Caenorhabditis elegans: one gene and its partners. The protein of the gene in region 2 interacts with the protein of the main gene of each other region in a pairwise test. Each region holds a gene or a part of one and is shown on either strand. Other genes may lie near its edges.

The links. Proteins that work in one complex are often made in the same cells at the same time.
Region 1: the proteins of gex-4 (region 2) and C34G6.3 interact in a two-hybrid assay, tested with the Caenorhabditis elegans proteins (one large-scale study listed by BioGRID).
Region 3: the proteins of gex-4 (region 2) and gop-2 interact in a two-hybrid assay, tested with the Caenorhabditis elegans proteins (one large-scale study listed by BioGRID).

What each region holds. Positions count from the first base shown.
Region 1 is NC_003279.8:5,894,902-5,897,905, reverse strand, and holds C34G6.3 (Non-histone chromosomal protein HMG-14), read right to left. Parts: upstream 1,289-3,004; 5' UTR 1,208-1,288; intron 1,049-1,207; 5' UTR 1,019-1,048; coding exon 761-1,018; intron 675-760; coding exon 567-674; 3' UTR 501-566; downstream 1-500. Other genes in the region: pgp-2 (ABC-type xenobiotic transporter), read right to left, coding at 2,270-2,476, 2,544-2,690, 2,737-2,940, 2,988-3,004.
Region 2 is NC_003281.10:12,216,234-12,220,235, forward strand, and holds gex-4 (GPN-loop GTPase 3), read right to left. Parts: upstream 2,402-4,002; 5' UTR 2,396-2,401; coding exon 2,351-2,395; intron 2,287-2,350; coding exon 2,178-2,286; intron 2,124-2,177; coding exon 2,036-2,123; intron 1,244-2,035; coding exon 667-1,243; 3' UTR 546-666; downstream 1-545. Other genes in the region: gphr-1 (Golgi pH regulator), read left to right, coding at 2,827-2,943, 2,997-3,100.
Region 3 is NC_003281.10:5,257,349-5,261,012, forward strand, and holds gop-2 (GPN-loop GTPase 1), read left to right. Parts: upstream 1-1,674; 5' UTR 1,675-1,684; coding exon 1,685-1,828; intron 1,829-1,875; coding exon 1,876-2,211; intron 2,212-2,373; coding exon 2,374-2,650; intron 2,651-2,693; coding exon 2,694-2,854; intron 2,855-2,896; coding exon 2,897-3,046; 3' UTR 3,047-3,164; downstream 3,165-3,664. Other genes in the region: gop-1 (Protein CLEC16A homolog), read left to right, coding at 1-57, 105-227, 275-404, 460-710, 760-840, 1,007-1,291; SAM50-like protein gop-3, read left to right, coding at 3,360-3,485, 3,568-3,664. UniProt on the Caenorhabditis elegans protein: Small GTPase required for proper nuclear import of RNA polymerase II (RNAPII). May act at an RNAP assembly step prior to nuclear import.

The DNA of each region.
Region 1 (3,004 bases), on a different chromosome or scaffold from region 2:
TTCAGGGCAAACTGATGAAGTTAAAATGAAGACGAGGCGATTCTCCGTCCCTTTTTCATTTTTTTGTAACAGTTTTTTGTCTTTTACCTTCATCTCTTCTTTTTTATTTTTCGTTGTTTTCTGTGAAATTCGCTGATCTCTTTTTCTTCTTTTGATAATAGTGATAAGAAGTTGATGATGTCATTAATTTCCGAATGACAAAGAATTGGACGAGGAACTGACCTGGTGTTCTCTTTCTGAAACACTTGGGAAAAAACTGAAAACCAAATGAGACTGCGCATGCCGTTTGTAAAATACTTAGCGAATATTTTGGATGCATTTTGCAAGTGGCGAACAATATTTCACAAGTATTTTTCACTACTCTTCCTCGTGCCCTTCCAGCAGATTTTTAATGCAACATTTGTTCTTACAATTCCCGGTTGCTGAACAGCCCTGGCGGGTGGCCCCGTGTAATGTCTTGCTTCAAAATCAGATACTTGCAACCACAAACACCGAACTTTAAAAAAACTTTTATTACAATACAATATTGAATTGTTCCCTTTCGATTCAGTTTCTCGGACAGTTGCTCATTGAGCAGCACCAGCTCCTGGACCAAAATCCTCGTATCCATCGTCCATCTTTGTCTTCTTGCCGTCCTCCTTCACAAGAACATCCATTCCACTTGGCTCGTTTTGCTGAAATTGTTCATATTCTCAACTTTTTCCAAAAGAAATTTTTAGCAGTGTGTTTTCCTAATCAACTTCAAAATCGTAACTGTTACCTTATTAGGATCATCCTCCTTCTTTGCATGATCCTTCGAGGCATCTTTCTTCGGTGTGGCAACAACCTTCTTCTCGGCTTCTTCTTTTGCCTTCTTCTCTTTCAACTCCTTTGCCTCCTTTGCCTTGTCCTTCTCATTCATATCCACAGAAGTTTGGGATCTTGAAACCGACAAATTTGAAGTCTTCTTCTTCGTTTTCGAAGTTTTCTTCTTGTCAGCACAGTCTTTCTTCGTGTTTTTACTCTTTCCAGTCGTCATTTCTTTGTTTTACTTCGATGAATCGAAAGTCTGAAAATGGTCCGTTGATATCAGTTGTTAAGCAGCAAAAATATGTGACTTCCGATTTGCCGAAAGAAATCAATTGTTTTGTTGAAACAAAACATTAAGCAGAGCATCAAGCCAATTTCAAGCTGTCTGAAATCGCACGTTTCTAAAGAGTAAACTCACTTTTTCAACCAGAAGAGAGCTGATCAGAAATAACAATTAATGATTGTGATGTGGATTGAGATGAAGGAAATTTTTTTTTCTGGATGATGACTATCAGATATTTTTTGTAGAACACGTAGAACACATGTTACACGTTATTTTTAAATTAAAAATGTTATTGTATTTTTAGAGAAATATATTTTCTATGGGGCCGATTAATACATTTCATACGGTTGAGTCGTGAAAGGCACTTCTCACTTTTCTCATCACTTGCCTTCTTACTATTAGCAAAACGTCGTGACTTCATATCAAACTCCTGTAACTTAATAAAAAATAATAGTGATAACATTCAAAAAAAAATTCTAAAGTTTATATGAATTTTTGAAAATTGGAAAAATCTCACTTTTTGCCACTTGTTTGGAAGTCGTCGATGAAAACAATGTTACCTTCGATTTTTATGGTCTATTATTGCTTTTAAAATAAATTTTCAAACACTGTAGCACTTTCCTTCGAATGCCCTCCAATTCAAAGAGCGTGTATTTTGTTCAGCCTTACAATTTTTCACAGCATTTCCAATTTTTGATCTTCTAGAGATTCTTTTATCAATCTTCGTCAAATTTAGATTGGATGTTTCATTGATCTTAAATTGAAATAGGTGTAATGAAACTACAGTAAAAAAGTTAAATTAAAAATATAATAGTCTAAAGAAATCCTATTTTAGATTCTACATATTGAATGATGAGTAGTTTTTTTTCAAATAAAAATATTTATGCAGTGAAAATGGTAAATAATATATTTAAAAAAGAAAACAAAAAGACAATTATCACAATTCAAAGATAATTATCACAATTCAAAGAATTTCACACAAAATACACAAGATGGAGGGAAAGGCTATTTGGGGAAAAAGCAAAGTACCTAGATGACAAAAAAATTATTACGGGTTTACAAAATTTTCTAAAAATTTTACTTGATGAGCATATTTAAATTTTAAATATCAAGCTGTTTCAATTGAACATTAAAAAAATGAAACTCCATGCAAATTAGTTTGTAAACTCGTGTTTGAGAATCTAATACATATTTAAATTATTGACTTTCGACAATCCTCTGCGTTTCACAGAATTTCTGATATATTTCACTCTTCCTTATCAACTCGTCATGTGTTCCCTTTTCCACAATTTTACCCTCACTGACGATCGCAATGACGTCACTATTTTGAATTGTGCTCAACCGATGAGCAATGACAAGACACGTGCGACCTTGTTTTGCGGCGTCCAATGCTTCTTGTACAATCTGTAAACAGTGAATAAAACGATATTCTTCAAAGTCAATTTGCTATTTCAATATTTTTCATACAAACCTTTTCACTTTCCGTATCTAATGCACTAGTTGCTTCATCCAAAAGTAAAACAGAAGGAGATCGAACAAGTGCCCGTGCAATGGCAATTCTTTGTTTTTGACCACCCGAAAGTTGAGTTCCTTTCTCTCCGACATGAGTATCATAACCCTGAAATTTTTAGAATGAGTTCTGATTTATGAAAATATCACCCTACATCTGGCAATCCTAGAATGAAATTGTGAATATTTGCCATTTTGGCAGCTTCAACAATTTCTTGATATGTAACATTTCGATTTGTTCCGTAGCAAATATTTTCTCCAATTGTGCAATCAAACAACGTTGGCTCTTGACTTACAATACATACTTGTTCGCGAAGTGAACTGATGTTTAGGTTACGGATGTTATCACCATCAATCATCTAAAATTGTTTGCAGTTAAAACCAATCAGAAAGAAAATTGACTCACAATCATTCCTTTATCTT
Region 2 (4,002 bases):
CGCACTTGTCCACGAGGAGTACAAAATTCTTCGTAAATCGACATGGGAAAAACCGTGCCGCGCCGAAGATTTTGCAATCTTGCGGCGCGGTTTTTATGCATGTCGATTTACGGAGAATCCTGTACTACACGTGGACAAGTCTGAGCTATTTTTATATTTTTTTTGCATTTTTTGTAGCTAAAATTCTGGTTTTTGGAGCATTTTTTAAATTTTTTTCAAATTTTACACTGAAAATTGCTAATCGTTTTTAATATATCGTTTTTAATCTAAAATCAATAATTTCGTTGTTTTTTTTTTGAAAAAAATGAAAATTTTCGTTTTTTCCGATTTTTCTGGTTTTTTGGAAGAAAATTGTGTGTTTTCTTATGTTTTTCTTCACAAAAAAATCAGCAAAAATTTCGGCAAAATTGTCCACGTGTAGTACGAAATCCTCCGTAAATCGACATGGGAAAAAGCCTGAAAAATGCCTGAAAAAATTCAATTTTTAGCAGGAATTAAATGGATTTTACGAACCAACAAATTATATAGAATCGGGGAAAAAAAGTGTTTAACAAATTTTAATCAACGGGGAAGAAAAGGCAGAATAAAACAAAAAAAAGTAAGTAGTAACAAATCAACGAAAAAAAATCATTTTTCAGTGCGAAAATTTTTCCAAATTTCCGACCACTACTCCTGCTGCTCCGGATCAAGCTCCTCTGGATAATGATCCTTCACCTCCAAGTCTTCTCCATATTGAATTGTAGTGTCAATTGTCAGTAAAAGCTGATCAATACTCTCCTCATCTTCACAATTCAACGGAACAAACTTCACAATCGAATAATCCTCGAGCACCTGAGCAATAGTTCGCGTCAGCTTCCGATGCTTCGAATTCCAGACAGTCTCGTCTTGATCTACAATTGAGCGGGTATCTGTCTCGAGAAATTCGTCGACCAGTTGCTTATTTCTCTCCGATAACAGATCCATCTTCGTTAGAACATTTATCGCTGGGGTCTCAATTGCAACCATTGCAGAGAGCGCTGTAAGAGCTCCGGAGATGAATTTCTCGGCGTCTAAAACGAAATTCGTGTCGATTAGGAAGACGGAGCACACGTTAAAGTCCCATGATTTGAGAGCATCGACGATCTGACGCATAACTGGAAGATGCGAGTAGAGTTCGATCTGTCCCGGGCAATCGATCACGAAATAGTCGTCTTCTCCTTCGTCAAGCTCGTCGTGGAGCCATTCGAGATTTTGGACAAGGTATCTGGAAAAGAAAATGTTTTTAGAATTATTTTTCCATTTTTTTCCGAATTCTAGGCATACGCCTAAGCCTAAGCCTAAGCCTAAGCCTTAGTAAAATTTTTTTTTTCGATTTTTTTCAGCAAAATTGGAATTTTTTCGGTTTTTTTAAAGTAAAATTGATTTTTTTCGGTTTTTTTTCAGCAAAATTGGAATTTTTTCGGTTTTTTTCAGCAAAATTGGTATTTTTTCGGTTTTTAAGCTTAGGTTTCGGCCAATTTTGCTGAAAAAACAGAAAAAATTCCAATTTTGCTGAAAAAAAAACCGAAAAAATTCCATTTTTGTTGAAAGAAAAAACAAAAAAAAACCATTTTTACCAACAAAAAAACCGAAAAAATTCCAATTTTGTTGAAAAAAACCGAAAAAAATCAATTTTTGCCAAAAAATTCCAATCTTGCTGAAAAAAAATCGAAAAAAAAATCAATTTTTACTAAAAAAAACCGAAAAAATTCCAGTTTTGCCGAAAAAAAAACCGAAAAAAATCCAATTTTGCTGAAAAAAATCGGAAAACTTTCATTTTTGCTGAAAAAACCGAAAAAAAATCAATTTTTAATTTAAAAAAAAACCGAAAAAAATCCAATTTTGCCAAAAAAAAATACATTTTTACCAAAAAATTCAAATTTTGCAGAAAAAACCGAAAAAATCTAATTTTGCCTTCTAGGTTTTAGACAAGGTATCTGAAAAGCCTGAGCCTGAGCCTGAGCCTAAGCCTAAGCCTAAGCTTAAGCCTAAACCTAAATTTAAGCCTAAAGTTTACTCCATGCAAAACACCAGAGCTCCATTAGGTCCCAAAATCAACTCCTCGTCCTCCTGAACATCATTGACACTGATCAAATCGCGAACATCTGAAAAAAATATTCTTATTGTTAGTCCAATTTTTTCGAAAAAAAAAATCCCACCAACAACAGCTGGGTAATTAAAAACTTCACATGCCGGATCCAAATTCACCATTCGCAATGTTCTCCCGGTGCTTAGGCAATGATTATACATTACTGAACAGTAGGTTGACTGAAATTGGATTTTTATATAAAATTTTACAATTTTTCAGCGAGAAAATTTCGAAAAATCTCACTTTTCCACTGCCAGCAGGTCCCATGACAAGTTGCGCGTACTTCATTTTGTGCTGAAATATTAATTTTGAATAATTTTCAAAAAAAATTGCAAAAAAAACACTTGAAAATGTGGATATTCGCCAAAAATCAATAAAAAACACGTCGAAAAAATATTAAAAATTGAAGAAAACCCATTGTTCGATGGAGCAGGTTTGCATTGCACAGAGTCACTAGTGTTTCGGGGGAAGTGGATTTCCCAAAACATTTTAGATTTTCAATCGAATTTCTTTTATAAAACAAAAATGTTCAATAGTTTGATAATAATAATGAATATTTTAATTATAGAAAACTATTATTCTCATAATATTTTGTCTGTTTACGTTGTAACTCTGACAGTCAGGTTTTCCACGGAGTAGCCCATTCCTCATTCAGTAGCGTGTCAATTTGCTTTTTTATCCATTTTTGGCACATTTCAGAGCGATTTTTTAGCAAAAAAATGGACGGATTAACAGATGTGGACACAAAAGATGCCAACGTAATGCTCGGTTCCCTTATTCTTTTCTTCGCTACCGGCTGGCTTTTCTACACAAAACAGCTATTTAAAAATTACGAGGTTTTGAACATTTTTCATTTTTTAAATAGTTTTTTCTCAAATTTTTCATTCAGGTACACAACAGAATTGTCCAGTTCATATTCTCCCTGACATTTGCGTTCTCCTGCAGTTTATTCGAGCTGATTATCTTTGAAATCGCTGGTGTGATGGCCCCGCTGTAAGGAAGCTCTACAGAAACTTTTTCTTGAATTTTTTAAACGAAAAATGCTAAAGAATACCGATTTATGGCCTATTTAAAGTAAAAATTTCCTCTAAAAACAAAAAAAAATCGGCGACGCACAGAAATAGAGGCGGAGCGTAATTTTGCAACCCTGCGGCACGGCTTTTTCTCATTTTTCCGATTCGGAAAAAAATGAAAAAAAAAACAAGTAAAACCTTAATTTTATTGGAAAAAAATCAACAAAAAAGAAGGAAAAAACCGTGCCACAGGATTGCAAAATTACGCTCCGCCTCTTTTTCTGTGCGGCGCTGCTAATTTTGCAAATCACGGGATTTTGGCCTTCCTCATTGAATTTTTCACGCTCCATTGACAATCGCCGGACAACGCATGGGAAAGTCGTGTACTCCACACGGACAAATACATTTATTTCTACAATCGAGCCGCACCGCGCCGTAAATCTACCCCAGATATGACCGAGCCAAAATGGCCTAGTTCGACAAACTCTTCCATTTCAATTTATAGGAGAAGCCAGAAATCGGAGCAAATTTTGAAAAAAAAACACGGTTCTCCCAATTTTTGAGCTCTATTTTTCCACTTTTCTTTTAAAAAACCAGCGAAAAAGTTTTAGTGCGCAAAAAAAAGCAAAAATAGCAAGTGCGCTCCAGTGGACTGAGCGAATTCGGCTGTGGAACAGGGGAGTATTCGGAAAATTTTTCGATTTTTAGCATTTTTTCAGGGAAAATTTCACGGATTTCTGGCTTCCCTCATGACTTGAAATGGAAGAGTTTTTGCCGAACTAGGCCAGGCCATATCTGGGGTAGATTTACGGCGCGTTGCGTGTCGCGTCGCGGCTCGATTGTAGTCCGCGTGGAGTACACGACTTTCCCAAGGCAATTGTC
Region 3 (3,664 bases), 7.0 Mb from region 2:
GTTAATGGAGAGAATCTGTTTTTGGAGTGGTTTGAGGATGAATATGCAGAATTTGAAGTAAGCCAAGAGGTCCGAAAATAATTTAATTCATCCTTTTTATTCAGGTGAATCACGTGAATTTCGATATAATCGGTCACGAAATGCTTCTTCCTCCAGCTGCAACTCCTCTTTCGAATCTGCTACTTCATAAGCGATTGCCCAGTGGATTTGAAGAACGAATAAGAACTGTAGGAAACTTTTTAAATTTGAAAATTAATTATATATATATTTGCAGCAAATCGTATTCTACCTACATATTCGAAAATTGGAACGAGATTTGACCGGTGAAGGAGACACAGAATTACCTGTGAGAGTGTTGAATTCTGATCAGGAACCAGTTGCCATCGGTGATTGTATTAATTTACGTGAGTTCATCTGCATAGAAAACACCATATTTCTACTCAAATTAACAATTTTCAGATAATTCGGATCTTCTATCCTGCACTGTGGTTCCTCAACAACTATGTTCTCTTGGAAAACCTGGTGATCGTCTTGCTCGATTCCTTGTCACTGATAGACTTCAATTAATTCTTGTCGAACCGGATTCTCGAAAAGCCGGATGGGCAATTGTTCGATTCGTAGGACTTCTTCAAGATACAACAATTAATGGAGATTCTACGGATTCGAAAGTTTTGCATGTTGTGGTGGAAGGGCAACCCTCGAGAATTAAGGTAAGAATACTAACGGGAAAAAAAAATCAAAAAATTACTTCTGTTTCAGAAAAGACATCCGGTTTTAACTGCAAAGTTCATATTCGATGATCACATTCGGTGTATGGCAGCAAAGCAACGGCTCACCAAGGTAACGGAAAAAATAACCAAAAAGACGGAAAGTTATTGTAAATGGACGAAATCGGCGAAATTAATTGAAAACGTTTGAATTTGCCGCTAAAACCAAACGAAAACCAAACGAAAGCGAAATTTAACTATCCCTTCAGGTAGAATATACATTTTATTTCTCTTTATAGGGTCGCCAAACAGCACGTGGTCTGAAACTTCAGGCGATATGTTCAGCTCTTGGAGTTCCACGTATCGATCCAGCGACAATGACGTCATCACCACGAATGAATCCATTCAGAATTGTGAAAGGATGCGCACCGGGAAGTGTACGAAAAACTGTTTCCACATCATCATCGTCAAGCCAAGGACGTCCCGGACATTATTCTGCAAATCTTAGATCAGCATCTAGAAATGCAGGAATGATACCAGATGATCCAACTCAACCGAGTAGTTCTTCGGAAAGAAGATCCTAGGGATCAATATCTCTTCAGTTTCATCATTTTATGCTGTAAATTGTATTTAAGTATTCCTATTCTTTGTAGTACTGTATTTACACATCGTCTAGTTAAAATCACAAATCTCCGAAAAAACAAACCAGTGAACATGTGATATTTCTCTTGCCCATAGTTCTCTTTTTTTTTTGAAACAAAAACAATTACTTTTATGCTCACCTATTCGAGCCATATTTTTTTCCCAATTACCGGTTGTTTATTTTAATTTCTTTTTTTTTTCTGTAAATCTACTTTATTTTTAAAACTGCATTTGAGATTGTGTATATTTTTTCAAAATGGTTCAAATGCCGAATCTATCTACTTTTTAATCATTATTCAAACAGAAAAACCGATTATTTATTCAGATTCTCAAAAATGGCTGAAAAAGCTGAAAATCTTCCATCTTCTTCGGCCGAAGCTTCAGAAGAGCCATCACCTCAAACTGGACCAAATGTGAATCAAAAACCATCGATTTTGGTTCTTGGAATGGCTGGTTCTGGAAAAACGACATTTGTTCAGGTAACTTTCATTCAATTTTGAGAGTTTTCAAACATTACTATTTTCAGCGTCTCACAGCATTCCTACATGCTCGTAAAACACCTCCATATGTGATTAATCTGGATCCGGCAGTTAGCAAAGTACCTTATCCAGTGAATGTTGACATTCGAGATACTGTGAAATACAAGGAAGTTATGAAAGAATTCGGAATGGGACCAAATGGAGCAATTATGACATGTCTTAACCTGATGTGTACTCGTTTTGATAAAGTAATTGAGTTGATTAATAAGAGATCTTCTGATTTCTCAGTTTGTCTTCTTGATACTCCTGGACAAATTGAAGCATTCACTTGGAGTGCTAGTGGATCTATTATCACTGATTCATTGGCAAGTAGCCATCCCACGGTAAGGGATTTTGATTTATGAAATCTGCTTGAAATGAAAAAAGATTCTAATAAATTTTTGACTTTTAAACATTTTTTACAGTTATATTTGGTCTATTTTCTATCATTAAAAGCAAAATGAAAAGTCGATTCTACTCCATATTTATTAATTTCGACTTTTCAGGTGGTAATGTACATTGTGGATTCCGCTCGTGCCACAAATCCAACTACATTCATGTCCAATATGCTCTACGCATGTTCCATTCTCTACCGTACCAAACTTCCATTCATTGTCGTTTTCAACAAAGCTGATATTGTCAAACCAACATTTGCACTCAAATGGATGCAAGATTTCGAAAGATTTGATGAAGCTTTAGAGGATGCCAGAAGCAGTTATATGAATGATTTGAGTCGTTCATTGAGTCTCGTTCTTGATGAATTCTATTGCGGACTGAAAACAGGTTTTTATTCGAAATAAAACCTTTTTTAAATAATAAATTTCAGTTTGCGTCAGTTCTGCAACTGGAGAAGGATTCGAAGATGTAATGACAGCAATCGATGAAAGTGTTGAAGCATACAAAAAAGAATATGTTCCAATGTATGAAAAAGTGTTGGCTGAGAAAAAACTATTGGATGAGGAGGAGAGAAAGAAAAGAGATGAAGAGGTAATTGTAGTAATTTAATTCTGATTATCTTCAAATTTTCAGACTCTGAAAGGAAAAGCTGTTCACGACCTGAACAAAGTCGCCAATCCCGACGAATTTCTGGAGTCGGAGTTGAATTCAAAAATCGATAGAATTCATTTGGGCGGAGTCGATGAAGAGAATGAGGAGGATGCTGAACTCGAAAGATCCTGATTTTCTTTTTGTTTTTGAATTTTTATTCTATTTTGATCCCTGTTTACTTCTTATTGTTCTCATTTTGTTGCGTTGTTTTACATTTTACTCATTTTTGCATAAACTTGTTGCAAAAATCAATATAATTTTTGATCTGGAAATGGTTTTAAACCTTAACCTTTCATATATTAATAATTTTTTTTCAAAAAAACGTTCTAAAAAGGTTCCTCATTTTTTCAATATAGGAAATTTTGAAGATCTTTTCCAAAAATGAGGTTCTTCGCTTGAAAAGCCAACATTTAAAACCTTTTTTTTTCCAGAAACCTAGTGGTTAATGTCTGAAAAGACGTTCCACAAGGCACAGACCATCCGTGCAAAGGCATCCGGAGTGCCTTCAATCGTCGAAGCTGTACAGTTTCATGGAGTTCGCATCACAAAAAACGATGCTTTGGTTAAGGAGGTACTACCCAAATTTCAAAATGTTGCACAATTCAATTGAAAATATAAATTGTGAATTAAATTCAACTTACATGTTTTTTCAGGTTTCCGAATTATACAGAAGTAAAAATCTAGATGAACTTGTTCATAACTCTCATCTGGCGGCTCGTCATCTTCAAGAAGTTGGATTAATGGATAATG